6 linked regions of the Canis lupus familiaris genome follow. Each later gene encodes a partner of the first gene's protein in a complex. Links are inferred from orthologs where the notes say so. Each region holds a gene or a part of one and is shown in the gene's direction. Other genes may lie near its edges.

What was found.
Region 2: ARPC1B (region 1) and ACTR2 share a complex: the UniProt entries of both Homo sapiens proteins name them as parts of the arp2/3 complex. The link is inferred for Canis lupus familiaris from reciprocal best matches to the Homo sapiens genes ARPC1B and ACTR2.
Region 3: ARPC1B (region 1) and ARPC5 share a complex: the UniProt entries of both Homo sapiens proteins name them as parts of the arp2/3 complex. The link is inferred for Canis lupus familiaris from reciprocal best matches to the Homo sapiens genes ARPC1B and ARPC5.
Region 4: ARPC1B (region 1) and ACTR3 share a complex: the UniProt entries of both Homo sapiens proteins name them as parts of the arp2/3 complex. The link is inferred for Canis lupus familiaris from reciprocal best matches to the Homo sapiens genes ARPC1B and ACTR3.
Region 5: ARPC1B (region 1) and ARPC3 share a complex: the UniProt entries of both Homo sapiens proteins name them as parts of the arp2/3 complex. The link is inferred for Canis lupus familiaris from reciprocal best matches to the Homo sapiens genes ARPC1B and ARPC3.
Region 6: the proteins of ARPC1B (region 1) and ARPC5L are in contact, whole or in part, in a cryo-EM structure (PDB 6YW6), measured with the Homo sapiens proteins. The link is inferred for Canis lupus familiaris from reciprocal best matches to the Homo sapiens genes ARPC1B and ARPC5L. Residues at the interface, in NP_005711.1 of Homo sapiens: Arg118, Lys138, Arg142, Phe164, Ser201, Gly203, Trp204, His222, Asp223, Ser224, Thr225, Leu240, Ala241, Ser242, Glu243, Thr244, Leu245, Pro246, Phe281; in NP_112240.1 of Homo sapiens: Asn21, Lys22, Arg102, Gly139, Leu140, Gly141, Ile144, Arg145, Thr148, Arg150, Lys151.

What each region holds. Positions count from the first base shown.
Region 1 is NC_049227.1:10,284,487-10,289,583, reverse strand, and holds the start of ARPC1B (actin-related protein 2/3 complex subunit 1B), read left to right. Parts: upstream 1-1,752; 5' UTR 1,753-1,899; intron 1,900-5,097. UniProt on the Homo sapiens protein: Component of the Arp2/3 complex, a multiprotein complex that mediates actin polymerization upon stimulation by nucleation-promoting factor (NPF).
Region 2 is NC_049231.1:65,985,235-65,990,277, forward strand, and holds the start of ACTR2 (actin-related protein 2), read left to right. Parts: upstream 1-1,574; 5' UTR 1,575-1,709; coding exon 1,710-1,757; intron 1,758-5,043. UniProt on the Homo sapiens protein: ATP-binding component of the Arp2/3 complex, a multiprotein complex that mediates actin polymerization upon stimulation by nucleation-promoting factor (NPF).
Region 3 is NC_049228.1:16,863,545-16,868,664, reverse strand, and holds the start of ARPC5 (actin-related protein 2/3 complex subunit 5), read left to right. Parts: upstream 1-2,022; 5' UTR 2,023-2,199; coding exon 2,200-2,342; intron 2,343-4,711; coding exon 4,712-4,784; intron 4,785-5,120. UniProt on the Homo sapiens protein: Component of the Arp2/3 complex, a multiprotein complex that mediates actin polymerization upon stimulation by nucleation-promoting factor (NPF).
Region 4 is NC_049240.1:36,616,027-36,620,882, reverse strand, and holds the start of ACTR3 (actin-related protein 3), read left to right. Parts: upstream 1-1,413; 5' UTR 1,414-1,738; coding exon 1,739-1,782; intron 1,783-4,856. UniProt on the Homo sapiens protein: ATP-binding component of the Arp2/3 complex, a multiprotein complex that mediates actin polymerization upon stimulation by nucleation-promoting factor (NPF).
Region 5 is NC_049247.1:8,505,430-8,510,443, reverse strand, and holds the start of ARPC3 (actin-related protein 2/3 complex subunit 3), read left to right. Parts: upstream 1-1,768; 5' UTR 1,769-1,840; coding exon of another isoform or gene 1,841-1,846; 5' UTR 1,847-1,874; coding exon 1,875-1,877; intron 1,878-5,014. UniProt on the Homo sapiens protein: Component of the Arp2/3 complex, a multiprotein complex that mediates actin polymerization upon stimulation by nucleation-promoting factor (NPF).
Region 6 is NC_049230.1:58,229,350-58,232,636, reverse strand, and holds part of ARPC5L (actin-related protein 2/3 complex subunit 5-like protein), read left to right. Parts: intron 1-1,635; coding exon 1,636-1,708; intron 1,709-2,646; coding exon 2,647-2,823; intron 2,824-3,287. UniProt on the Homo sapiens protein: May function as component of the Arp2/3 complex which is involved in regulation of actin polymerization and together with an activating nucleation-promoting factor (NPF) mediates the formation of branched actin networks.

The sequences.
Region 1 (5,097 bases):
GCTTCCCAAGCGCCAGGTGCAGGAGGGCTTCCAGAGCAAAGCCAACCCGGTTCCCGCTCACAGAGTTTATAATCTGTTTTCACCATGAGGAGGTAACCCTCAGGTGTTTAGATGTGTCCGGATGCTTTTAGAGATGGGTAACACAGTCTCAACCCAAACCAAGCTTAAACAGTAGAGTCCTCGGCTCACCGGTCCCAGTGGTCTGAAACCTCTGGAAGCTGGTTGGGCTCAAGCTGACCAGTCAGAGTTTGACCATGGTGCTGGTCATTTCTGGGATTTCCTCCACCTGAGCTCTATGTCATCTAGCTTCCCTTGTGCTGTTCCACTTTCGTGTTCAGATTCTTGCAGCTCACCCAGAAGAGTCTTCCCTCCCTTCCACCACCACCACCACCATCATCATCATCATCATCATCATCATCATCATCATCATCATGTCCTGGGCTTGCAGCAGCAGCAGCATCATCATCATCATCATCATCATCATCATCATCATGTCCTGGGCTTGCTTTACCCTGGCCATCTGAGCTCATGAGCTCAGGACAGGGGACCCCAGGAGCCGATGGGGTTAGAGCCATCAGGCCCATGCCAGAGGTGGGGGTCAGCTCCCCCTGGGGTCATTCCCTGGGCATCTAGAAGCCAGGGAGGCAACAGATGTGCCCTCTGTGTTAAGTTGCACTTGTCCCCCACAAGAAGGGGGTGCTGGTACAGATCATCTGAAACTTTTTCTGTTCATCCCGCAGCCATGCTGGGACTGGCCACAGCTAGATGGGAGGGCGGCGCCAGCCCCTCAGAGTCTCAGCCAGGAAGGCTGCTGGCGGTCCTTTGGTCCTTTCAAACCATAGCCGAAGCTTGCTGAGCGCTCACTGCGCGCTCACTACTGGGAGAGCTCCCACGTTTGGAGACATGGAATCCTCCCAGCCACCTTGCAGGGGCAGGATTCAGTGTTGATGGCAGCCGGGACTGGTGGGCGCAGGGTCTTGCTGGGAGCCCCGCAGTCACCTCCAGGGCAGAGGGTTGTGGACAGAGTGAGCTAAGAGACAAACCCTGCAGGGGGGGGACGGGGGGGGGGGGGGAAGTGTTCCAGGCAGAAAGAAAACCATGTGTCAAAGCCCCGGGACCTGTCAGGGTGGGCGTCTGGCCCCAGATCCCGATCCCCTGCCTCCGGAAAGACCACAGAGCCCCAGTGCGGCTTGCTGCTGCCTGCGCCTGGGAGGGAGGACTCCTGGGGAGGAGCCCCCCGCTAAGAGAGGGCGCAGGAGGGGGTTTTCGCCGGGGGCTCCCCCATCCGCGCAGCCACCTGGTCACATCTCCACCGATGAGGCAGAGGCTAAGGATAGAAAGACCCCTGGGGACCACTCGGCCCAAGACCCAAATGCATGTGGCCACAAGGCCACCAGGCAGCTGGGAGGCAGGAGTGGACTGCGGCGGATCCAGGGGCAGGAAGTCGTCAGTGCGAGCCCGCGGGCACCCGGCCCCGGGAGGGTGCTGCGGCGGGCACGGGGGGCGGGGCAGGGGCGGGGGAGGGGCGGGGGCCGCCCGCCCGCCCGCGGGCACCCGGTCCCGGGCCTGCACTTGCCGCGCCCCGTGGCCATCAGCTCCGGGAGGAGGGAAGGCGCGCACCCCGCCCAGCTGCCGCTCCGAGCCTCAGTTTCCCCGCGCGTAAAGTTGCAAGGGGCGGTTGCGGAGGAGCGCCGGGCGCCCGGGCTCCGCGCAGCCCCCACCCCGGATGGGTGGGCGGGGCCTGGGCTCTGGCCGCCACCCTGGTTGCCGCCCCGGTCCCCGCGGGGCTGAGGCTGAGGCCCCGCCCCCGCCCACGAGGAAGTGGCTGCGGCGCCGCGCGGGGCCCAGAGCCGGTTCGGCGCGTCGACTGCCCAGAGTCCGCGGCCGGGGCGCCCCGAGGTGAGGGGGCTGGGGCCGCCCGCAGGGGGTAGCGGGGAGTTGCCTGCAGGTGGGGAGGGTGCGGGGCGCCCGCGGGGGCGCAGGAGCGCGGGGAGGGGGTGCCCGGGGGAAGGGGCCCGGGGCGGGGGCTCGCCAGGTGCGTGGGGTCGCCCGGAGGCGAGAGCAGGGCGGGGACGGCGGCCCGGGCCCGGGGTGGGCGGCCGCCTCGGGGCGAGGGGAGCGCGGGGCGCCCTGGCCCGGCCTGCGCTCCCCGGCTCTACCCCGCGGCCGCTGCCCCCCGCTATTCCGGGCGGCGAGGGCCCCACGCCCAGTCACTTCCCCTCCATCCTCCAGCCTTCCGGGTTGCTCCGGCCGGGAAATGAGCTGGCGCCCCCGCCCACCTGGCCCCTCCCCCGCGCCCCCGCCCCCCGCCCCGGCCCTCCGGGCGCCCCGGGGCCGGGGCCGCCGACCCTACCCGGAGGGGGTCCCCCTTCGCCGGAGGCGGGGACCCAGCGGGGCCGCCCGGGGCGGTGACAGCAAGGCCGGCGGGACTAGCGGGAGCCCGGAGCCCGGAGCCCGGAGCCCGCCGCCCGCCTAACGCGGCGCTGAGCTGGAGGCCGTCGGCGGGCCCCCGCGCCTGGCAGGTGGTGCTGCCCCGGCCACGGGCACCGGTTCCCGGGAGGCCCCCGGGCCGGGGTTGAGCGCGCCAGCTTCCTTAGCAGGCCACCTGACGGCTCTGGACCTCAACCTTCCTCCTCTGTAAAATGGGGACCTTTCAAGTGGCGAGGCTTACCTGGGATTGTGTGTGGAAGGCACTGGGTTGTGCCAGGCACACGCTGGGTACAGGTCGGTGCTCTTCCTGCTGCCACTACCATTGTAGGGCCTGCCCGCACTTACCAAAGTGTCTGGATGATGCTAACCTCTGAGATTTGGGGGTCAGAATCCCAAACTGCCATGTAGGAGCTGTGTGGCTTTGAGAGATTCTTGTTTGTTTTTATTTATTTATTTATTTATTTATTTATTTATTTATTTATTTATTTATTTATTTTTAAAGATTTTATATCTCTGTTCATGAGAGACACACACAGAAAGAGGCAGAGAGACACAGGCAGAGGGAGAAGCAGGCTCCCCGAGGGGAGCCTGATGTGGGACTCAATCCCAGGACCCCAGGATCATGACTTGAGCCAAAGGCAGATGCTCAACTACTGAGCCACCTAGGCATCCCCGATTCTTGACTCTGAGTCTTTTTCCTCATGTACAAAATGAAGGTTTAAAAAAACACGAAAGAAACCCAAAACAACCCTTTAGGCTTGCTCTTGGGGGTAAAAGAATGTATGTCAAAGCTGTGGGTAAAAATGCTGTGCATTTAAAGATGCCGGTAAAGGTAGTTTATGTGTGTCTATGTACATAATCCACACAGGTCTTTTCAAATAGTTAAATGATATCCCAACATGTTAGTGTCACAATTTACTCTTGCCATATTTGTAGTCATCTGGATTTTTCCACCCTTCCACCATTCTAGAGGGGGTTATTATGAACATGTTTGCTTAAAAAAAAAAAAAAAAGTCGGTGGTTATTTTCTTAGCACCAAAATGAATCTATGCCACCAAAGAGTGTTAATTTTTAAGTTCCTGTTTGTGTTATTCTGCTTGTTCCTACCCAGTTGTTGAATTGTTTTTACATCGCTCTTCTGAAAGGCTGAACAAATGAGAATTTCTCCACAACCCTGCCAACATTGAGTTTTATGTGTTTTTGGATTTTGTTTTGTTTGGATTGCTTTATTAGTACGCTTTATGGTGCTTTCTATGATTGTTTTCATTTATGTGTCTTGACTTGATTTTTGCCTGGTTAAGACTTCAGGAGCAGAGTTGGGGAGGAGGTTTTGGCTGGTCTGGGGTGGCAAGGCCTATTCCATACACAACAGGAAGTTGAGTAACTGCTTAGCACGTGTACAAAATGGCTTACTGGCAACTCCCTGGAGCGTCTGAGCTGGGTGGGGACTTCCCTGAGTGCCTGTAGGGCCAAGATCCTGCTCCAGATGGCTCCTGCCTAGATTAGCCTCAGATACAGCCAAACCTCTGGCTTCAGAGAACCTTGGCCAGGTTTTTCTAGAAGCAATAAGGAACCTACAGCTAGTGCCTTGTTCAGCCCCCACCTTTTCTGGTAGAGATGTGAAGGAAGTATTGGCTGAGGGCATCCAGTTGGTATGGAGAGTTAGAATTTGACCCTAACGCTGTAAGGAAGGAGCCCTGAGGCCCTCGGTCAGGCAGCCCAAGGCTCTACCTGGCTTGCTTTGCTCTGAGGGGAGCTGAGTTCTTCCCAAGTGCTCAGCAGAGGATCTTCTAGATTTCAGATTTCCAAGTTTTGCTAATCATTGACCCTAATCAGGAAGAACACAAAACAAAACTGAACACATACTCCCCAGTAAATATTTACAAATTGCATACATATGTCACTGAAATAATAAAGCATATTCATTCCTTGGAGCCTATCCCCTAAAGAAAAGGATGGGATTTATTCAATTTGCCTTCAAGAAATACGTATTGAGCACCTGTTATGTGCCAGGAACTCTAATTGGTGCTGAGGATACGTGGGTGGACATAGCACCTACCATGCCCCTAGATAGTTCGCGTCCATACCCCGGTGCATGGTTTCTGGCATGGCACCCTCTGGATGGAAACCACACTCTGGAGACCCAAAACCCCTCCCAGACCTCATGCCGCTCTTCCCTGTGCTCTCCCACGCCCAGCCCTGGGTAATCTCCAGCCCATTTGTACTGAGCCTTCACTGTGTGCTGAAAGGACGCAGGGAACGTGCCGCTGGGAACACAGAGATCCTGGCGTTAGGCTGGCAGAGGGGAGCCAGCCAGGGGAGACTCCACATTTGACCCACACTCCCCCAGCCTCTGTTTCTGGGATAATGAGGCACAGATCACTGCACGTGGACTCCAAGTCCCAACACGGTTCCTCTCTCTGTCCTCAACAGTCAAATGGGCCCATGGTGCTGGCTCACGGGGCTGCCTTGACAAGTGGGTGGGTGTCCTGGAGGCCATGGCCTCAGCCTCCCTTTGTCTCCCCGTCCCCGGAGCCATTGCTGAGGCTTTGTGTTGTTAACAGGCTTGGGCAAAAGCAACTCTAGTTGCATAGTCTTTAGGGTGACTGGCTGGCAGTCGGTGCCTTCCCATCCCCCCATGGAGGTTTTCCTGGGAAGGATTAAGTC
Region 2 (5,043 bases), on another chromosome or scaffold:
TTTTTTTCTAGGTAAATTTTGACATCACTTATCCAATACTTGTTGAGTGTAATGAGCGCGATATTATGCATATATCCATGATAAACTAATTAGTGAAGAAAAAGAGCAAAGAGCATCTTGAGGGTTATCAGCAAAGTCTTCATCTTTGTGCAGATGTGCAGACATCTCCTGATTGGATTTAAAAAAAAAAAGGTAGAGGCATTATAGGTAGAAAGAACGATACATTTAGAAGTAATTAATAATAAACAGCTACCACTGAATGGATACTTTATGCATGGAATTTTATCCTCACAACCAGCCATGGAAGCAGAGGTTAGCATTCCAATGCATAGGCGAGGGTATGGCCAAATCACAGAATGCTTGAGTGGCAGGGCCGTATTTGAAACTGGGGTCGTCGGATTTCGAAGCCAAGACTCTGGGTGCAAACAGGTGCATACACTGGAGAGGTGTGGAGTAGCGAGGGTGCTGCTGGATTTCGAAGCCGAGACTCTGGGTGCAAATAGGTACATACACTGGAGAGGTGTGGACTAGCGAGGTGCTGCTGGATTTCGAAGCTGAGACTCTGAGTGCAAATAGGTACATACACTGGAGAGGCGTGAGGTGTGAAGCAGCGAGGTGCTGCTGGATTTCGAAGCCGAGACTGGGTGCAAGCAGGTGCATACACTGGAGAGGTGTGGAGTAGCGAGGTGCTGCTGGATTTCGAAGCTGAGACTCTGGGTGCAAACAGGTGCATACACTGGAGAGGCATGAAGCAGCGAGGTGCTGCTGGATTTCGAAGCCAAGACTCTGGGTGCAAATAGGTACATACACTGGAGAGGCGTGAGGTGTGAAGCAGCGAGGTGCTGCTGGATTTCGAAGCCGAGACTGGGTGCAAGCAGGTGCATACACTGGAAAGGTGTGGAGTAGCGAGGTGCTGCTGGATTTCGAAGCCGAGACTGGGTGCAAACAGGTGCATACACTGGAGAGTGTGGAGCAGCGGGGTGCTGCTGGAAAGGAAGTGGTGAGCCACGGGCCTAAAAAGGTAGGTGCCCACTACCGCCCTCTTGACTAAAGGCAAATTGGGCAAAAAGGGTGGGGGGTGGGCTGGAATTGGGAGATATCAGGACAAACGCATGACTTCATGTGTGTGTATCCAGCCCAGTTCTGTTCCCCGAAGAGGCCTGGGGAGCAAGGACAACCGCAAGCCGTGCTCAAAGGTGGGGTCAGCAGGGACGTGCAGGTTTGCTTCCCCTGCGTCCGCCCGCTCCGCTGTCTCCTCTCGCCACGGATGCACGGTCCCTCACCTTCCTGCCTGCCTCTTTTGCAGACAGCTAAGCAGCCCCCTCAACTCCTGCGACGCCCGGGACCGCAGCACCCGCCAGCCCCGCCGCCATGAAAGCCCGGCGAAGCTCCCGGAACCGGAAGCAGCGAGGAAGAGCCCGGGTGGGCGGTGACCGCGACGGCGGAAACCCGATCTGTGGGCGGGGCCTCGTCGCGTCTCCGCCTCTTATTGGACCTCACGCCTGCCAGTCTCTGTCTCCGCCCTCTTATCCCCGCCCCTTCCGTGCGTTCCGTGTCTTAAACGGCGGGTGGGGCCGGGCGGAGACTTCCGGTTGGTGGAAGAAAGTTGGGGCGGAGGAGGGGCCGCGAGGAAGGAGGAGGAAGAGGAAAGGGCCGGGCGGCGGGGGCTGTAGGTCGTTCGGCGGCGGCGGCTCTCTTCCGGGAGGACGATGGACAGCCAGGGCAGGAAGGTGGTGGTGTGCGACAACGGCACCGGGGTAAGCGCCCGGCCGGGGACGTGCTGGTGGCGCGGCGGCCCTCGGCGCTCGCGGCGGCGCCCATGGGCCCTCGGGCCGCCGGGACCCGGGGGCGCGGGGCAGCGCTTCCGGCCTCCGCGGGCGTGGGGGGCGAGCTGACCCGGGGCAGCTCGGGGTCGGGGCGGCGGGCCTGGCGGACGCTGGAGGCGGAGGGGTGGGGTGGGGGATGGGGAGGCCCGGGGGGACCCAGCCTGCAGCCCGGCCGCCGCCGCCGCGCCCAACGGGGATGCTCTGGCTAGAGGGCTGCAGGGGTCAAAGGCCGGGCAGGTAGGTCTGCTCCATGAGGATTCTGTTCCCCAGGGTCGCTGCTTCTGTAGAAGGGAGAAGCACCAGGAGGGCCTTCCTCTTCCTGTAGAATTGAAGATACCGAACGGCAGGCAGGAAACGAGCTCGAGGAGAGAAAAAAAAAAAAAAAAGGGGGAAGTGCTGTCATGCAACGAGCCGCAGCCCTTTCGCAGTTTTCGGGCAGCCGCAGTTTTTGGAGCTGTTCCCCCCTTACCCGGGGGTGAGGGAGCAGCGTGGAGCCAAGCATCATTTACTTTTTGTTATGCAGGCTGGGAATTTGGCCTCGGTGCAGCCTCCGCAGAGGCACGTCTGTGTCCATTGATCTTGGGAGATCTGGGACACCCCCCGCCCCCCCCCCCCACTAAGGCTCAAGTGTTCATTGTGGACCTTGCAGGGGAAGTTCACCAATTCTGGTAACTCCCTCCCCCATCCTACTTCCTTAGATGCAGAAACACAGATCATGTTAAGTTTTTAAGATTCCAAAAGACAGACGATTGTTAAAAAAAAAAAAAAATTGGCTAAACACTGATTTAGAAATCATGTGAAAGTTGTTGCGTTCAAACCCCTCCCCCCATTAAAAAAAAACGCAACCTATTTGGAGTGGCACATTAGGAGACAGAAGTGTTACTGGGATGGATGAGTTCTGTAGTGATCATTTGCCCCTACATTGCAATGATTTCTTTTCTTTTTTTTTTTTTTTTTTTTTAAGATTTTTATTTATTTACTCATGAGAGACACACAGAGAGAGAGGGGCAGAGGGAGAAGCAGGCTCCATGCAGGGAGCCTGACGTGGGACTCCATCCAGGGTCTCCAGGATCACGCCCTGGGCCGAAGGCAGGCGCTAAACAGCTGAGCCACCTGGGCTGTCCCATTGCAATGATTTCCAATCATTTTGGACTTAGGGTATTTTATGACTTTTCTCCTCTTTTTTCCATAAATGTAGCATACGAATGAAAATAGGCTTCCAGGGATCCCTGGGTGGCGCAGCAGTTTGGCGCCTGCCTTTGGCCCAGGGCGCGATCCTGGAGTCCTGGGATCGAGTCCCACGTCGGGCTCCCGGTGTATGGAGCCTGCTTCTCCCTCTGCCTATGTCTCTGCCCCTCTCTCTCTCTCTCTCTCTCTCTCTCTCTCTCTGTGTGACTATCATAAATAAAATAAAAAAAATAAAATAAAATAAAAAAGAAAATAGGCTTCCAGTTATGAAGTGGATAAATCACAGGGATGACAAGTACGAATCTGGTCAGTGGCATCTTTACAGCACTTATATGATGACCGATGACAGCTACATCTGTGGTGTGGGAGGCACGACATACAGTTGTCAAATCACTACGTTGTACACCTGAAAAAAAATTTTTTTACTTGAATTTTAAAATATTCTGGAAATTGGATTGTTGGGATGAAAAATAAAAGAGCTGATATTTACTGGCATAATACTACCCTTACTGTTTTACAGACTTTCAGAAGCGATGATTATATTAGTTTTGTATGAACTAAGTTAAAAACAAGAGAGTAAGAAGAGATATAATCATGGGACATCCGTTCAAAATCGTATACTTAAAAAAAAAAAAAAGAAAGAGAAAAGATCCACCACTATGGAAACATGTAAATATGTTTCTGTGTCCACAAACTTCTAAAGTTTTAGAGGGAGAAATAAGTTCGTAGAGGTTACCCTGTGAGTTTGGGGATAAGAGGGAGGGAAGATGGGAAAGGCTTTGTGACTCTTCTGCATTATTCGAAAGTGGTCTGTTTTGTTTTTTAAGAAAACATGAGACTCTTCAAATTAACTACAAACATTACTTTTATAGCTGAAAGTCAGTTAAAGGTGCTTTAAAAAAAAAAAAGTAGCTTGATTCCCCCTGTAGTCTCAAATTGACCTCTAAATAAATCTAAGACTTTAAAAATTGAATTTAAAATATTTTTGTAGATATATTTTATATTCCCTTTAGAAATCAGAGCCTTTATATTTCAGTGGATTCCTTCTCTTCGAATGATAATGAGCTCTGTATTTGTAGTGTATGAGCTTTTTGATATTCAATTAGAATAGGAGTGTTAGCCATGAGTTCTTTTTTTATTACTATTTCATTAGTTTACCTGAGGTAGAAAGCTGATTGTATGTTACTGATTAGGCTTATGGCTAATCCATAATTTAAGATTCTTGTACTTTAAGAGATCAGTAAAGGAAAAATGTAGTTAATTTGAACAAAATTTATGTATTTGGTGTTACATTTCTAATTACTTTAAAAATTTATCTGAATTTTCTATAGACCTGACTGGCTTCAAATGAAGAAATAGTTCTGATGTAATATGTAGCTAGGAATGCTGTGATATTTCTGAAAATTTAGAGTATTCTAAATACAGAAATTCTCTATTTCTTACTGCTTATATTTCATAGTCCTCTTGATTTAGTTTAGGTACCTAAAGCTATACTGAGTTATCTACAAGTAAATACTAAGGTGTTCAAATTTAATTTCTAAAAACTTATGTAAATAGTTGTTAGTCTTTTTTTTTTTTAAGATTTTTTTAAAATTTTTATTTATTTATGATAGTCACGGAGAGAGAGAGAGGCAGAGACACAGGCAGAGGGAGAAGCAGGCTCCATGCACCGGGAGCCCAACGTGGGATTCGATCCCGGATCTCCAGGATCGTGCCCTGGGCCAAAGGCAGGCGCTAAACCGCTGCACCACCCAGGGATCCCAATAGTTGTTAGTCTTAAAGCAACTTGCCTTTTACACATTTTAGGTTTTAGACTTATAGGCAATTTGAGAAGTTGATGATTTTGTCTAACCTTGCTGGCAGGCCCTGATTCAAATTTTCTAAAAGTGGGTGAGTTCTTAGGATTACATGCCAGATTACAGATCACGTGCCAGATGTTGGTCTTGCAGCGTCTCTTCTGCACCAGCTCCCACCTAGACTAGGGTCTCTCTCAATTAGGGTGGGTGGCCTAGAGAAGGAAAACTTACCT
Region 3 (5,120 bases), on another chromosome or scaffold:
TTTGCAGATAACTTGAATGTTAATTTAAAGAAATGTCACTTCTATCACCTAAATGATAAATTTTCCAGAAGGGTGGTTTAATTGGGAGGAGAAAAATGCCATATTGCTTCTTCCTTCCAAGAAGAAAGGGTGCATTCCATTCCTGTGAACTCTTTCAGTCTCTCTCCATATATTTATACATGTATATATATCCACATACATACATATACAACTATGTATATATGTCAGTGTAGATACAGCTATACATATATACATATGTATGCATATCTGTCCCACAAATGTTTGATTTTGAGATCTCTCTTCCTTTTCTTACTGATTCATTATGTTCAGTGTGACTTTCAAACTGTACTGCCTTTCACATTTTATTCATTCATCAATGAATAATTGAGTACCAGAATGTATTGAGCACTGCCTGCATGCTTAGCATTACATCAGATGTAAAGCAAGATACAAAATAAATAAAAGGCAAGTCTTTGCCCTCCAGAATCTTTTGATCTCTTCCAGGAGCAAGATAAAACATGATATGTCATTAAGTAATTCGTAAGACTAACGCCAAAATCAATGGTACAAGTAACATGCATTTTGCATCTATGTAGAATTTTAGAGCTTCAGAACACTTTCCCGTACTTAGTCCTCAGAACAATCTCGCGAAGTACGTTATTATTAGCTCCACTTTAGCAACGAGGAACCTGAAATTGAGGATTTTAAGTGGCATGCCTCAATCAAATAGATTATGAGTGGAAGTCAATACTTCAGCCAGGGTTTTTGATTCTAAGTCCAGGGCTCGTTTCAATACAGCACAGGAAACCAAGGATTGGGGTATCAACAGGGCAACAGCTGGCTTTCTGCTAGAGGTGGAATTGAACGAGACCTGAGAGGATGTCAGGAAAACATAAAGCTATCTGAGCAGCGTCCAGCTAAATGTCCAAAATAATTTTATTCTGCAAATATTTGTGCTTCGGTGTTACACACACAGCACAACTACCATTTCTTTAGTGTTAGTGCCTTTGCCTCCTCAGTAAGGGCTTTGCTCTCAGAAACGAGGATGTCCAATGTAATAAAAAGCTGGCCTAGCAGGATCATATAAATCTCAAATCACAAATATAAATCTTCATCTCAAACCTACTAATCCTCACACGTTTTGTTTCCCCACAGCACCGGAGGGCATAGCTCGCCCCTATCCTTTTCTTCCGTGCTTGCTCCAAACCACCACTTATTTTTAAGATGCCGGTGACTGACCCTACCCCAAATTCCACAGGTCCGCCCCAGGTCTGCCACGCGAGCCCTTGCCCAGAACCTCCGTCTCCCTCCCCAAGGAGATGATACCTAGTTCAGGCTCTGCAGGTGCCGTCGGGATGCTGTCACACAGCACAGCCAGATAAGAGACGACCTTTCGACTCCGTCCTTGGGGACTTCCCGCTGGCCGCGCGGCGTAGCTCCAGCCCCGGGAAAGGGGCTCCCGGCTCAGGAACGCAGCCACGGGCAGCGCACGGTCCCAAGTGATGCCTCTGACAACTAGACCGACGCTGGGCGCCCGGGCGCGCATCACTCCGCCCCATACTCCTGCCAACTGCAGGGGACTCGGTCCGGCCACCAGTCCATCCCACCCCACAGGCAAGTCCGGGCCAGCCGGACCTCACGCAGGACCCCGGCGACAGGTCGCTGGCGGCGGCGGCGGCGGCGGCGGCGGCAGCAGGAGCCACCCGCCCCCAGAGCCCATAGCCGCCAGCCTAAGACCCCCGCCGCCCCCCTTCCGCGGGACCGCAGAGAAGCGTTGCTATGGAAACCCCCTGGGGATCACGTGACGCCCGCGGACGGCCAATCGCCTCTCACCTCTGCCCGCGGCGCCGCTTTCGGCCCGCCCCCGGCCCCGCCCCCGCCCGCCCCCGCCTCCCTCGCCCCGCCCCGCCCCCTTCCTGCCGCGAGCCCGCGCCTGCGCACTGCGCCCGGCGCGCCGTCCCTCGCGCGCGCGCCCGGGAGGAGCGGGGGCGGCGTGGGCGGCGGGCGGAGAGCATGTCGCCGAGGAGGAAGGAGCGCCGCCAGCGCGCAGGCCCAGAAGCGTCCGAGCCGCGGCTGCCGGCGACGCCCCAGAGCGGAAGAGGGAAGTGAAGGCGCCCGGGCTGCGGGTTCCTGGTGGGCTGCGCTTCCCGAGGGCGAGGCAGCACCGAGAGGAGGCTTAGGCCGCCGGTCCGGCTCGCGATGTCGAAGAACACGGTGTCGTCGGCCCGGTTCCGGAAGGTGGACGTGGATGAGTACGACGAGAACAAGTTCGTGGACGAGGAGGACGGGGGCGACGGGCAGGCCGGGCCCGACGAAGGCGAGGTGGACTCCTGCCTGCGGCAATATCCTTGGCGTTTGCCGGCCTCCCCGCGCTCCCGCCCCGCCCCGCCCCGGGACCCCGCGACCCCGCCCGGGGACCCCGCCCGCCGGGCCGCTCCCGGGGCAGGGGCGGCGGCTCTGGCCCTGCGGGGTCCGCCGGACGGGCGGCCGGGGGCGCTCCCGCGTCTAGCCGAGTCACCCCGGGTCACCCCGGGTCACCCCGGAGCCCGCCCCCGCCCCGACTCCTCAGGTGGCGGCCCGAGTCGCTGCCCCGGGAAGCGGCGGGGCGGCCGCGCCCTCGGGGCTCGGAGGGGAGGCCTCGGCTGCTGTCCGCCGGCCCCGGGGGGAGGGGCAGGGGCCCGGGCCCGAGGTCACGGAGGTCCCCCCGCCCCTCCGGAGGTGTGCGATTGCGGGGAGCGGGCTGCCTGCGTCGTGGTGCTGGCGGTTCGCTCTTCGGCCGCGTTAGGAGAGTTCATTCCTCGCGGGGAGGCATGGGGCGGTGTGCACGGTCGAGGCCCCCTGGCCTTTTTAGCCCCTGGGCCCTTTTAATAATTATAGTTATTTACAGAGAAAGGAATTTGTTGCAGATACGAATGTGTTAGCCCCGGGGAAACGGAGTGAGTACGAAACGGCCAGCTCCCGACAAGGAAGCTTGGAGGCTTCTACCTGCGAAGCAAGGGGACAATGCACAGGGATGGCAGGTGGAGAATCCCTGGAAATATTTAAGATAAGCCCCAGTGAATAAAGTAGATGATGAGCAAAATAGACGATGAGTCATTTTGCGCAAAGCAGCATCATTTTTTATTTTTTTTATTTTTTATTTTTTGCAATCCTGAAATCCATTTCCATTTCAGTTAAAATGCGGCTGTCAGTTCCTGGGGTTTTTGGTGTTGTTTTTTTTTTTTTTTTTTTTTTGCATATTTGAATATTCATCAGTGTTGAGCGAGTATTTGGCACCACATCTCTTTTAGAAAAATGTAAATGTTGCAACAGCTAAAGCTGTAGTTCTAGAGATTCTCAATTACTGAATTCACTCACTTCTAATTATTCTTGAATGTATTCATAAGATAGGGAAGACTTTTTAAACCTCTCCTCATCAATGTTCTATTAAAGTATAATGGGGAAATAGGAGTGAAAATATTGGTTGTGACTATATCTAGTCTTAAAGGCACCTAAAATACAGCATTAAACATTTACCAACATACAGATGTTTCTTTGATTTCCACAACTCTCACAGTCAGCTGTTGCTCTGTTGCATTATTTAAATACGTAAGTGCTTTAAGGTCTTAAAAATGAGCCAGTCTGCCAAAGGAAGCTTTTCTAGAAGTTTGTTAAGCCTTGGAAATAACAGCTTACCACCAGCCATAGGGGGTTTTTGTTTTGGGGTGTTTTGGTTTTGTTTTGTTCTTTTTTTTCCAAACATAAGCAATGAACATTATTCTGTCTGAAAACATTCTTTGTAATGGATAAATGACGTTTTGTGAACTAACTTTAGGTTGATGGGTGCTGACTCTCAACTGGTACGGCTGGATCCATAAAATGGATCTGCTTTCTAATCTCTTTATCTTAAAAGATATTGTCTCTTCTCTTGTTGCAACCAGAAGAGACCAGCTCTAGTCAGGCACTACAGATGGAGGAACAAATGAACTCTGTGGTTTTCCTTTTAGGGGAATGACTGTATATTCTGACAGTCTGATTGGCCTTCCGTGTCTCATACTTGCTAACTCACTGGTGCTTTCAAAGACTAAATTTAATAGGTATGACCTAAAACAGTGTCAATGACCTTTTTGGAAGTATAAGAGAAAATATGCAAAACAGAAAAATTAAGCTACAGCCTAAAGGACATTGAATTATTAGATCTTTTGTTAATATTGAGAGGTTACTAATGTGTATCATGTAGAGTGCTGGAATAATTACCAGCATTTTCTACAAGTATTTCAATTAAGATAGAATATAATTCTAGCAAAAGTTTGGTCCATATTTTTCCAGTTAAGAATCACATAAAAAGACATTTTGGTTGAGGGTATGCTGTTTCATTTGGGGACCTAATAATTCTAATACGTAGATATGTAATTTAAAATATACGTATCACTCTGAATAATGTTTCATATGTGTCTTACTGGAAAATAAAAGGCTCTCGAAGTGTTCATTTAGTAATTAGAGCCAGGCCGGAACTGGTCTTTGCCTTATTACCTCCTCTTATGTTCTCTGTGTTTTACATGTGATTGACATCCTTGAAACCAACATACTGAGTTTTCCAATATTGAACATAGCGATCGTGGTAATTTTTCTTTCTACGTATAAAGTCAAGTCTTAAGAACCAATGATACCTGGTAGTTCCGATGTTTTTCTGAAGGCTCCCCTTTGCTGCTATCCCCTTAACCTCCATCACAGGAAACATGACAGCCGCCCTACAGGCAGCTCTGAAAAATCCCCCTATCAACACCAAGAGTCAGGCCGTGAAGGTGAGTCAGACGCTGGTGTCTTAGCATTCTTTCCAAAATCCTCTGAAGTATCATGGAATCAACAAATAGTTTAACTGTTTATTGTCTTTGACATACAGGAGCTTACTCTGTGTAGTTTGTTAGGTAAAAATTTACATATGAAAATAATCTCACTCTAATACTGAGTTATGAGAGACCATTTCAGTGTGTTTAATGGAGGCACTCGAGGAATTGGAGCATAGGCCTGAAGAATAAACAATACTTTTACAAAATAAATAGATTCTATTTGGTTGCTTTTTAAAAATTTTTCTAAATTATCCAAGTATTAAATGTTTATAGAAAACTCAGAGAGAGGCA
Region 4 (4,856 bases), on another chromosome or scaffold:
TTGCCACCTCAGGCCCTTGACCCTTGCTGTTCCCCCTTCTGGACGGCTCCCCTTCCTCCTCACCCTTTCCCCTATCTTCTACTTCACCTTTAAAATGTCACTTTGTCGAGAAGCCTTCCCTATATTCTACTTCCCTCACATTCTCCCACCCTCATCTCTGTATCTTGTAGCCTGTTGCTCTCTTCTAATGCTTTTAACACAATTTATATGTTCCCATTAAACTGTGAACTCTTGAGAGCAGGGACCTTCTGTATTTTGTGCCCAAAGACTATTCAGAGGCAGCAGGATCCCTGCCATAATGGAGGATGTGAGCGATACTTAACATGTCAAACGGATGAAAAACCCACTTTCCATCCCACTGCCCAGTCTAACAACTTACCATTGTGCATAAGACATCCTTTCTTAGGGAAAATATTTTTATTTCAGCCATATAAGCAAATGGAAGATTTATCAGAAGACAAGCCTGGTGGAAAGCTGTTAAACTTCTAGGTTCCCCAGGTGGGGTCCCAGACCATCACCTGAGAACGTCTTGGAAATGCAAGTTACCAGGCCCTTCTCCTACACAAAAACTCTGCGGATGCGGCCCAGCAATCAAGGTTTTTTTTTGTGTGTTTTGTTTTTAGCAATCAAGGTTTTAACGAGCATTCTCGGTAATTCTGATGCACACTTAAATTTGAAAACCATTGTTCTAGGCTGTCCAGTATGTGACCTTTTTCCCCCTTATTATTATCATTATTTTCGCTCCTTGATCATCGGCATAATCCTGCCGGCAAAACAGCAGAATCTTAAACTGCTGAGGGCATCTTTGTCATCATTCGAAAGCGGCGAATAACCGACTATCCGCGCAGAGTGCGTGATGTGGAAGGTGCTCCCGGGGGGGGTGTGTTCCTCGCGGGGACAGGCCTGCCCCCGGGCGTCTGCGACCCAGACAATGTCCCCACGCACAGGTGCAAAAGCCTAGAAACCGGCAGGAAGGCGGAGCAGCCGGCTGCAAGCCTTTGTTCGCCCCAACCCTCCCGACCGCTCGCCCTCCGTCTGCCCGCGCGCTCCTCCACCCAGAAAAGCAGCGTCTCCAAGCGACGAGAATGTGTCGTGCCGCTCAGGACGTTTTCTACTGGGCCAGTCTTCCCCGGGGCCCCGGAGAAGACGCGGGGGGCTGCGGGGGGCTGCGGGGGCAGGCGCCGGGCGGCGAGCGCAGGAGGCACGGACGCCGCGGCGCTCCCGCAGCTCCAGGAGCCCCGGGCGCTCGCCCCGCCCCGCCCCGCCCCTCCCGTCCGGGAAAGCCCGGAGCGGACTCCGCTCACGTCGGGACGGGCGCCGCGGCCGGCGGGGCCACGTCACTGCGCATGCTCCCTCGCCCCTCCCGCTCGGAGCCGGAAGGGGGAGCGCGGGCGGCCTGGGCCTGGCCTGGCCGGGGCGGCGGCGCCGGCGGCCATCTTGGCTTCCCGGGGCCAGGCGGCGCGGGGGGAAGAAGTTGTAGGGTGGGGGCCGGAGGGAGGAGGAGGGGAGAGAGAGGGGGAGGAGGCCGCGGCGGGGCAGGGCGGGGACTGCCTGCCCGCCCGGGTTGCGGAAGTGGTAGCCGCTGGCCGAGCCTGCTGCTTGCTCGCTGCTGCCTCGGCTTCCCGGCTCCCCCCGGACGGAGAGGCCGGCCCGGCTGTGGATGGTCAGATAGCTCCGGCCCCAATCCGCACGGAGCAGACGGCGGCGGCGGCGGCGGCGGCGGCAGGCGAGGAGGAAGATGGCGGGACGGCTGCCGGCCTGTGTGGTGGACTGTGGCACGGGGTAAGGAGGGTGGGGAAACTGAGGCGGAGCTGGGAAGATGGCGGCGAGGGTGCGGGCGCGGGGATGCGCCGCGGCGGGGTGCGGCCGCCGGGCGTCGGGCTGCCGGGGGTGGGGCGCGGGGCCGGGGCCGCGGTGCGGCCGGGCGTCACCCGCGGGGGCGGGGGCGGGGGCGGGGGTCCCGGCGGGGTCCCCCCGGAGGTGCCCCCGGAGCCGCGGGCGGGTGGGCGCTGCGGGGCCCGGCGCTCAGCCTCCGGCCCCTCGGCTCCTCCTGCTGCCGGCGCGCCGGGGCCGAGCGGACGGGCGGGGGACGCCGGGCGGGTGCTCCGGGTCGCGGGGACCCCGCGCGGCTCGGGCCGAGGGCGGGGAAGGGGGCGCCCGGGCGCCGAACCTGCGAGCCGGGGCCGCGGCTTCCACCGGGCGGGCCGCGCGCCCCTCGTCCGACCCCCGGGCTTCCCCGCCTCCTGCGCTCGCACCGGTGAGCCACGGGCACATTTTAATTTGAGAGAGAAGGATGTCATGTGTTAACTCGTCTTGCCTCGGACAGAAAAAAAAAAAAAAAAAAAAAAGGAAAAAAAAAAAAAGTCCCCTAGTGAGCAAGCGCGCCGCAACTTCCTTAGTTTTCTCAAAGCCGCTTCCTGCTTTCAGCCCTTTATACCCTTATAAGGTAGTTTTTCATTTCCAACCTGAACACCTCGTATTAGAACTTTTAGGATTGAGCATATTTGAAATGGATTGAATTACGGGCCCTCGACATCAGTTTGTAGGGACTTGAACACAGACGTGCGAGTGTTTTCCGGGAAGGGGGGGAGAAGGGAAGCCCCAGGAAAGTCCTTGAGGCCGCGCGCTCGCCGGGGGGGGGTGGGGGGGGTGGGGGGGCCTCGGAGGCTGTGGGGCCGCGGGGTGCGCTTGCTTTTCGGGGGGTTCCAGTGCGCAGGGTCGCGTGTAGACGTGTAGAACGGCGTTGAAGTGTATGAATAGGCGTTTTGGGATTTTGGCACACTGTTGTTTTCATAGGAAATAGTCTGTACTTTAACGTGGAACGACTTGTTTCCCTTGCAGCGCTGGGAGGGTGTGTGTGTCCGTCCTGTGCTGATACATTGTTTCATTCCTAATTCGCAAAATAATACACCGAGGGGGAGTCGGTTATGAGAGGTAGAGTGTCAGCCCTTGCTCCCTGCCTTCTATCATCCAGCAGACCTTCGTTGCATCAAGGATTGTGTATGCCCCTCTTTCCATTTACTCCCCGTAAAACGGCTCTATTTTTTTTTTTAAAGCTCTAATCTTCATACTCACGACTTTGTTAGTGTAACAGTTTCAAAAATCCCAGCCATGCATGTGGAAACAGCCGATTTATTAACATTCTCCTATTCTCCTTTGGAAAATACCAGCCTACTTTTAGCCGTGGAACTTCTAAATGTATTGTTTTGATGGACAGCTTATTAAAGTTATTGTTTTTTTATTTTTATTTTTTGTATATATATATTTTTTTTATTGTTTTTTTTAATCCTAATTTTCTTGACTCAGGTCCCCCCCCCCCCCCCCCCCCCCCCCCCCCGATCCAGTTGAGGAGTAGTTTCATGCTTAGGGTCAGTTTTAAAATTAGATTTGTCCTGAGTGAGAAGGAATTTTCAAGTGTGGGGTGTTTTGTTTTGTTTTTTTAGATTTTATTTATTTATTCATAAGAGATACACAGAGAGGCAGAGACACAGGCAGAGGGAGAAGCATGCTCCATGCAGGGAGCCCGACGTGGGACTCTATCTGGGACCCCAGGATCACGCCCTGCGCTGAAGGCAGGCGCTCAACCACTGAGCCACCCAGGTGTCCCTCAAGTGTGTTTTGTTAAAGTGAGAAATACTGTTATATAATTAATATTTTATGCTTTAGAAATTATTGGGTTAATAAAATTAGTGTGGATAATTGTAGTGCTAATGGTAACTAGAATGTTACTTTTCCCCCATTTTTCCCCTTTTGAAATAAATTCTGGTTATTTTTGAGTTAGTATTCGGGTATTAATCATTGAGGTTGACTGTCCTTAGCTGACCTCCTCCTGCTAGGGCAACCCTGAATTTAAGACAGGCTGAGTGTCCGGGAGGTCCCCAAGGGCTTCAGTCTACATTTAGGATTATTTTTGTTTTAGTATTTCAATTATTACGTTACTATATTTTACCTTATTGCATTAGTTTTACTTCACAAGGTGAGGTGGTTTAATGGGCACTCATGGTTTAAATGGAACTGATTAGGAGTCCCCATTGTCTCCCACCTTTTTTACCATCTGTCAGAGCTCCATTTATTTTGGTCTTCTAAAGGTTTCATGGTCCTTTGTGGTGGCTATCTAATGCAACTCCTGGAAAGTTATACCTGCAGCTTTATTAGCACATAGAGGATGGCTCATTGAGCTTGGGCCTGCGATAAGCATATTTAAGTAAGGCCTTCATGGGAGTTTTATGTTTCAGAGTACTGTGGTCCCCAGATGCAAATTGTTCACCTATAATTTGTGTGTTCCTTTGTGCTTTAGAGAATGCATTCATCTATTTGGTCTGTAATTACAATTACCCACTTAATATAAATGAAGAGTTATAACCTGAATCTGGATGATCATTCCATTTCATTATATAAGTTAGGAAAAAGATGACAGGAAAAAGTGGCCGGCTATGAAACTTGGTGTTCTCCCACAAGAAAAGCTGTAAGCCTTAGGAAACATGAAGCTTAATCCCCAGGCTTAAAGTTAGAAATCCTGCAGCAAAGATCCTTTATCTCAACATAAGATAATCACCTAAGCTCAGATCGTATAAGAAAATAACTCCTTTTGATAAGAATTTAGAAATAACTGTTTTTTTTTTTCGCATTGATATCATATCTACACACTTTTTGTCTGCATTGGAACAGTACTGTAGAAAAAAATTTGGGTAGAGATTCTCATTGTAGAGCTAGCTGGTTGCTTAAGAACTAAATTACAGACCTCCAATCTGCTACCTTGGTGAGGGAAACTTTTTTTTTTTTTTTTTAAAGCATTCTTATAACATTGTAACACTTGGAAAGTTTTAGAAGATCCTAAATTATTTTTCGCATATTTT
Region 5 (5,014 bases), on another chromosome or scaffold:
ATTCTGAAATGGCTGGTGTTTCAAGTGGAATCTTTTAGTAGTATTTTTACAGCATCAATTTAGATTTTAAATGTTGAAATTGAAATGAATGCACATAGATTTGCATATAATATAAATGAGCATCTGTGGTACAGTTAGGACTCAGTCTACCTTTATTTTTCCTGTTTGATTTTTGTTATTTTTGAGGGTTTTTTTGGAGAGGCAGGAATTATTATAACAATATACACATGTGTGTCCAAAGGAAAAAATCTAGGATATAGTTAAGACCATTGCTTATTTGTATGTCTGAATTTTCCTATATTTGAAAATGTATCATTTGTGTAATTAAATGAAAATTAACTTTTAAAAAACATATGTATATAAATAAAATAAATATAAAAATAGTGCTAACTTTTCATTACACTCCTGTTTTTTAGTCAGAATCTGAAATACTCATCCAGGGCAAATTTTTGAATGACTAAATTTGCCCAACTGTCAAAATGTAGCCAGTGATTTCTTTAAAAATGCAATTGTGTCTGAGCATTTAAAAATTTATACTTTCCTGGGTAATAATAGCAGATGCACAAAAAAGGCAAAAGACATTTTTTTCTTCTTAAAGAAAAGAATTGCACCTTGATTGAATTGTTTATTTTCAGTAGCATTGGGTATGAAAGCAATGGGGAGTGTCTAGTCCATCTGTGATGGGCTAGGCCCTGTTAAGAAAAGCAGAATCTAATTTATTGAGTTCTGCCAGACCTTGTGCTAAGAAACATTTTACATAATCTCTTTCATTTAATCCTCATTACAGCCCAGTCTTCCTTGGCTATTTGGGCCTGGATCTTCCAGCTGATACAAATTAAACCCTTACAGAAAACTGGAAACAGGTTAAATTTTTCATCATTCTTGGGCTAGGTAGCAGGAGTACACCTGCAGTGTCACGTTTGATCCATTTTAACTAAAGATGCCCCATGTGTGAAGAACCACAGCTATCAGTGGTAACTTGTGTCTGGGAGGTTAGGCCAGGGGCATAAGTCAAGTATTTGCATCCTAGTCCATCAAGGTGAGCTATTGTACGGTGGAGAGGTACGGCCAGCAGGAGAGAACTTGAATGGGCATCATGGGAATGTGCTGTCCTGTGTCAGGACTCTTGTCTGTGGCCCTGAGTATGAAAGGGTGAGAACACCCTGATCTGCATAATTTTTAGAAATTTTATTGTCGTAGAAGAAAGGAAAGTCAAACTAACATTTGAAGTGCTTTCTAAGATTAGGTTAAAAAAAAAACAAAACAGGGCAGCCCAGTGGCTCAACGGTTTAGTGTCTTGCCTTCAGCTCAGGGCATGATCCTGGAGGCCCAGGATCGAGTCCCACATCGGGCTCCCTGCATGGAGCCTGTTTCTCCCTCTGCCTGTGTGTGTCTCTGCCTCTCTGTCCTCCTCTCATGAATAAAATCTTAAAAAAAAAAAAATCATAAGGAAATCAGGATGACGCAGAGGAGTGGGGTAGGACTGAATTTAAAATAATGTGATCCAGAGAATGCTTTCCTAGAAAGATGAAATTTGAGGAAAAATCAAGGAAGTGGTGGATGCCGAGGATTCTGAAACCCAAGATCTAGCCCCATTTCGCGCACACTTTACCATGCACGGCACTCACAATCCCTACTCAGTGCTCGGGCGCCCTCTGGCGCCCCTTCGTCCCTGCGCAGCCGCAGCAGCTTCCGGCGGGACCGCGAGACCGGAAGTGCCGCGTCCTCCCCTCCCCCTCTCCTTCCGGCTCACTTCCGCCTACCCCGCCCGGGCCGCCGGACAGGAAGCGCCGAGCTCTATCCCCAGCCTCGTCTGGCTAGAAACCCGGTCGCCGCCAAGATGCCGGTAAGGAGGCCAATTCGCAGTGTGGGAGATGGTGAGAACTGGGAGAGCAGCGAGAAATCATGCGTGAGCTGAGAGAAGTGGGCGGAGGAGGGCAGAGAAGAAGCGGGGCCTGAGAAGGGGAGAAGCTAGGAAGAGGGGCCTGTGGCTGTAGGATGGGGTTGCCCGGGGGTGTCGGCGAGGGGGACGGGGCCGGAGCACCTGGGGCCAAAGACCCTGAGCGTGGAGAGGAGGCTGGCTCGGCCCCTCTCGCCCTCTTCGCTGCAGTGCTGCCCCTTCTCTCCTTCTTTCTGTATCCCCCGACTCCAGCAGAATCCCCAAAGATTCACTGGAGCCGAGAAGACAAGGGCTGTGCTTTTTATTTTCCATTTTTCAAGTCTAGGATCCGGCTGCTTTTTCTTCCCCCCACAGGCCCACTTCCTCCTTGGCCCCAGGGGGCGGGTTCCTCCCGCTGCTTGTCACTGCCATACCCCACTTCCCGGACTCCTCTGTCTCCCCAGCAGTGGCGGCCACCCCTAGCTGCTGGGTGTAGGGCCGCCAGAGCAGACGCAGGGTCCGCTCCTGGTTTCCAAATGCTTCTGTTTTCGTGTGCATCAGAGTAGGAGCAAGATGATAGTAGTGTCTGGTTGTCCTTCATTTCTGACAGCCAGTCTGGTGGAGTGAATTCACCACCATCATGGTCTCCATTTTGCAGATGAGGTAAAGGAGGTTCAATAACGTGATAAACTCACTCAAAAAACATTACTGAGTACCTGCTGCATGCCAAGTACTGTTACAGCAGTGAATAAAGCCAACAAATCCCTAGGCTCAAAGAGTGTACATTCTAATGGGGAGACAGCACAAACGTGTATATGTAAATTGAAAAAGATAGTTTTACAGATTTTTTTTTGAGAGAGAGTGCCAGCAGGGAGAGGGGGTTAAGTGGCAGCAGAGGGAGAGGGACTAGTAGTCTGCAACTTAGTGTGGAGCCAGAAGCTCTATCCCACCAACTTAGGATCATGACCTGAGCCTGTCGCTTAACCGACTGAGCCACCTGGCTGTCCCTAAGATAGTTTTAGGTAGTGACAAATGCAATGAAGGAAATAGATGGGTAACAAACAAGACAGCTAGTGAAGGAGAGGGTGGAGGCTGCTTTAGGTAAAGGATTACTGATGACAAAGAGGAGCAAGCTATAGTTAGAGATACTTAATGAGTCTTGTTGGTACCATTCAATTCCTGACGTGTGCCAGACTGGCCCTGAACTATACACTGCATGTAAGTTACTCCATGTTATCCTCACAATAACCCTGTGAAGTCCATGCTTATTGTTCCCGTATTGCAGAGAAGGAAATTGAGGCCCAGAGAAGTATGATAACTTACCCAAGGTTGCAATATTTCAAGCTATGACTTTAATTTTATTTTATTTAATAAAGTTATTTATTTTATTTATTTGAGAAGAGAGAGAGTAAGCCCTGAGCAGGGGTGAGGAGCAGAGGGAGAGAGAGAAGCAGGCTCCCAACTAAGCAGAGACCCCAACATGGGCCTTGGTCCCAGGACCCTGAGATTGTGATCTGAGCTGAAGGCAGATGCTTAACCAACTGAGTCACCCAGGTGCTCCTTAAGGCTAGGACTTTAAAGTCCTGTGCTCATTCCTGGATTTCCCTGCGATAACTTATTTAATATCTGCCTCTTCCATTAGCCTGAAAGTTCTTCAGGGGCAGAGATACTGGTCTTGCATACCATTTTTTCATGATGCTTTGCACATTGAAGGTGCTTGATAATCGTTTGGTAAATGAATGAATATATGAATGGGGCTTTTCTGTTACTAAAAGCCAGACATCGGGGATCCCTGGGTGGCTCAGCAGTTTGGCACCTGCCTTCTGCCTGGTGCCTGGGACGTGATCCTGGAGTCTGGGATCGAGTCCTGCATTGGGCTCCCTGCATGGAGCCTGCTTCTCCCTCTGCCTGTGTGTCTCTGCCTCTCTCTCTCTCCCTCTCTCTCTCTCTCTCTCTCATGAATAAATAAACTCTTTAAAAAATAAAAAATAAATAAATAAATGGGATTTTCCCTGCTCCTTTAACTCACTGAGGGCAGTAGATAACTCTTCTTTTTATGAATTTGGAAACAGGTGAAGAGAAGTGATGTCTTGGTCAAACACATAGCCAGGAAGTGGCAGAACTGAAAAGCCAGTGTTTGGGTTCTGGTTTAACAAGAGCTGGTGGGGTGATGTACCCCTGATTTATATAGTGTCTGCCTATTTCCATAGCATAAATACTCCCACCAGTTACCAATGTGATATCACCGAATATGGGATTGGAAGATGCACAGTAGCACACCATTATATAGCATTTCTGCCACAAAGATACAAAAGTTATATATAACCTTAAGATCATAGACAGTAGTAAAATAATTTTTAAAAATATGAAGTAATGAATTTTCAGCATTTATCACATTTGTTTTCAATATAATGCACTTAAATGCAAATTTACATAATTTAATTTTTAATAATGGCTTTTTTTTTAAGGATTTTCTTTATTCATGAAAGACACAGAGAGAGAGAGAGAGGCAGAGACACAGGCAGAGGGAGAAGCAGGCTCCATGCAGGGAGCCCGATGTGGGACTCAATCCCTGGACCAGGGATCACACTCTGAGCCGAAGGCAGACACTCAACTGCTGAGCCATCCAGGCATCCCATTAACGGCTGTTTTTAATAACCAGCTTGCCTCAATATTTTTCAAAATTCCTCAAAACATAGATGCTTCTGGCTGGCTCAGTGGGAAGAGCATGCAACTCTTTTTTTAAAAAAAATATAAAGATTTATTCATTTATTCATGAGAGAGAGGCAGAGACACAGGCAGAGGGAGAAGCAGGCTCCCCACAGGGAGCCAGATGCAGGACTTGATCCCGGAACTCCGGGATCCCTACCCAAGCCAAAGGCAGATGCCCAACCTCTGAGCCACCCAAGCATCCCAAGAGCATGCAACTTTTGATCTCCGGGTTGTGAGTTCGAGCCCCATGTGGGGTGCAGATTATTTAAATAATTTTTTTAATTGCTCAAAATTGGGAATCCCTGGGTGGCCCAGCGGTTTAGCACCTGCCTTCAGCCCAGGGCGTGATCCTGGAGTCCCAGGATCGAGTCCCACATCAGGCTCCCTGCATGGAGCCTGCTTCTCCCTCTGCCTGTGTCTCTG
Region 6 (3,287 bases), on another chromosome or scaffold:
CTGTCCAAAGCAGTGGTTTTGAACATTTTTGCACTTTTTCCTCCCCCTGAAGAAATTTGGCATTGTTTGGAGATATTTTGATTATCACAATGCTGCTAAACACCATGTCATGCAGACCTCACATCAGTTGTGTGGTCTAAAATGTCAGTGCTGTGGTTGAGAAATTCTGATCTAGAGGAGACGAGGGGCAGTGGTCTGTAGCCTCCACAGCCTGTTCTGTGAGCTGAGCACGGAGGCCACCTTGATAAATGCTGTGCATTCCCTTTTCCCCAGATATCCCCCAAGCTGGTAAAGGCTCTGTATCCATCAGCACTTATAGTGATTGCTTGGTACAGAGGTAACTAAAGCAGTGACTCTTTGCCCCTGCAGACTAGTTCACCTGCCCCTCCCCATCCATCTCTTGAATGATTTTGTTTTCCAGCCATACTGGTTAGTGAAGAGAGCCAGCCTACACTTCTTTTAAACTCCCGAGTCTCTGTTAATTAATTGCTCTGGAACGCCAAACCAGAAAACAGTTCCAAGGTAGACGTTATCAGTGGCTGACACCAGACTGGCCCTTGTCTGGCTGAGGAAAAGGAATTCCAAGCCAGCAGATACAAGGAGTGGGCTGCCTCCATTGTGGAAGGTGCATCAGGGCCCAGCAGGGAGCTGGGAGCTCAGCAGGAGTGGCTCCTGGGTGGTGTGGGCCCAGCTTAGTCAAGATGGAGCCCATATTAGGGAAGATGGGTCTGGGCTTTGCTCCGGTGGCTTTGTCTGTTCACACGTAGGATTCACTGCACAAACAGGAGTAGAGACCTGTTTGGGCAGAAGCCATTCCTTATTCTATTTTTGAACCTTTTTGGCTGAAGCCAGTGTTGTAGATGAGGAAATGAAAGTTGGCTGATGTAATTCAGTTTAAAATAGGTGTCACCTTTGGGGACCTAACCCAGATTGTCATTTTCTTTTGAGTGCTGTGTATTCAGAACTCAGCAAAGAATGTGTCAAGATTGCAACTAAGGTTGAGGGGAGAGGGAAGGCTTGGCTTATATTTTGGGAAAAAGCTTTTAAATGAATAAACCTCCCTCTTAGTAGTTGGGACCTCACAGACCTGGATAGGTCTTGGAAGATAGAAGTTTTAGCACATCTTAATTTCTTTAGCAGCTTAACCAATGAAACAGTGGATAAAGAGGAGACCTCCATTTGTGCCTTTGTTCTTCCTTTTTGAGAATGAGAATGTGAGAGGGATAGTCTCACATCATCGTGAGGACCCAGCAGGGCAGACATGGTGCCCAGTACCAAGCAAGTGCAAGTGAGCTCAGTCAGATTCTATTGCAGGTCACCCCCAGAGGGCACTTGCTTTGCTTCTGCCTTCCATGGTAGGGGAGAAATGTCCAAATGTGTTTTGGGGGCAGCAGAACGAGGGACTTGCACAATTGGCAGAGGTGCTCTCTATTCTTTGTGTGGCTCAGGAAGGCTATAGGCTACTCTCTAAATGGGCTGTGGCCACCTGGAAGCTGCAGTGAAGTGTGTGTGTGGGGGTGGTGGTGGATGTGAATGTCATTTGACTCTTCTCCTTTGAGCTGTTTTTGAAATGAGTTCATTAATAGAAGCGTGGACATGCTTGAGCCGAGCCATCCTTAACTGGTGGTGATGCACAGGGGACATGCTTCGGGCATTCCATGCAGCCTTGCGGAACTCTCCCGTCAACACCAAGAATCAAGCTGTGAAGGTAAAGGGGATCATGCTGCCGCTTTGCTGGGTGGTGCTCGCACCAGGGCTGTGATTGTCTGTGTCCGCAGCTGAGGGCTCCCTGGGGCTCCAGACAGGGTCTGTTTTGCGTCCACCTCAGTGAGGATCTACCAAGAGAGTGAGTTGGCACTGGGCAGTGCTTCCATGGAAGCCTCCTGGCACTCCTGACATCAAAACTGTCTATGTTTATAGTAAAAGCTCCCCAAAGAAACATTCACTCCTCCCCAGGGCCTCATGGGGGTGAGAAGTTGGCCCAGCCCTTACTGCTTAGCAAAACTCTAAATTAGCTTGCCACATGGGACTTAGCAGTGTTTCTGCTTTAAAGGTTTTTGAATAGGCTTTATTTGCATAAGGATTTTCAGTCAAGATTTCCTGCCTTTTAAAAAGAAGGGGAGAAGATGCTTACTGCATCACAGCTGCTTAGAAGCTGTCTGAACTTGGGTTCAGGGAGAGGGGTCTCTCTGAAGCTGGGGTTTTGCCATCTTGTGACAGCATGGTGATGTCAGCAGCGGTTGCACCTCCTTGGTGGGGGGAAATGCCCCCCCCCCCCCCCCCCCCCCCCCGTGTTACTGGGGTGAGTGCAGAGGGAGACTGCAGCTTTTCTTACACCTGTGAAGAAAATAGACATGTTAAGAAAACAGCTGTGATCTGGTGGCATCTGAGGCCCGGCCCATGTCATAGAGGCAGGTTTCTCCCCAGTAAACCACTCACTCTCCCCCAGATTAGTGGAAGAATTTATGGGCATAAAGAAGGGATATGTTGACATGTAAATAAATGAGAGGATTTGAGCACTTATTTTGCAAGCAGCCCAGACAAGTCAGTAATTGGTCAGTGTTTCTGAGAATTCTGACCAGTTGGTGGGGCATTCCTGTGCCTGGGCTTTGGCCCTGGGCATCGCTGCCTCCTTCTCCTTCACAGGAACGAGCCCAGGGCGTGGTGCTGAAGGTGCTTACCAACTTCAAGAGCAGTGAGATTGAGCAGGCTGTGCAGTCGCTGGACAGAAACGGCATTGACTTGCTAATGAAGTACATTTATAAAGGGTTTGAGAAGCCCACAGAAAACAGCAGCGCTGTGCTACTCCAGTGGCACGAAAAGGTATGTGAATGCACCGCCCACACGGGTGGCCTGCTGACTTGCCCCCACCCTGGGGTTCACGTGCGCAGGCCAGAGGACAGTCTGAGAGGCATGAGAGAGTAAGGGGCTCCACGAACAGCAGTGTAGGACGACTCTGGCCACTCACTTCTTCCATAGAAGCACCTGGTAGGGTTCACTGGCTTTGGTAATTGGAATTGCTTTAGCTGCTGATTTATGCCAGGCGTGTCATGGGCACAGGTGACTTGCATGGTGAGATAGACAGGGAGTCCCAGGTGGGAGGGAGGCAGGCTTGCTTGTGGCTGGGGCTTCAGAATACTCTCTTTGCGTCAGCGAAGGCAGCTGCTTCCCGTTGGTGGAGATGGTGGTTGGGGAGGGTCTCAGGAACGCAGGCTGAGCCCCCAGCTGCCGCTGGGAGCTTCCTGCTCTGGCCTCATCCTCACTAGGCCAAGCAGGCAGTGGCAGAA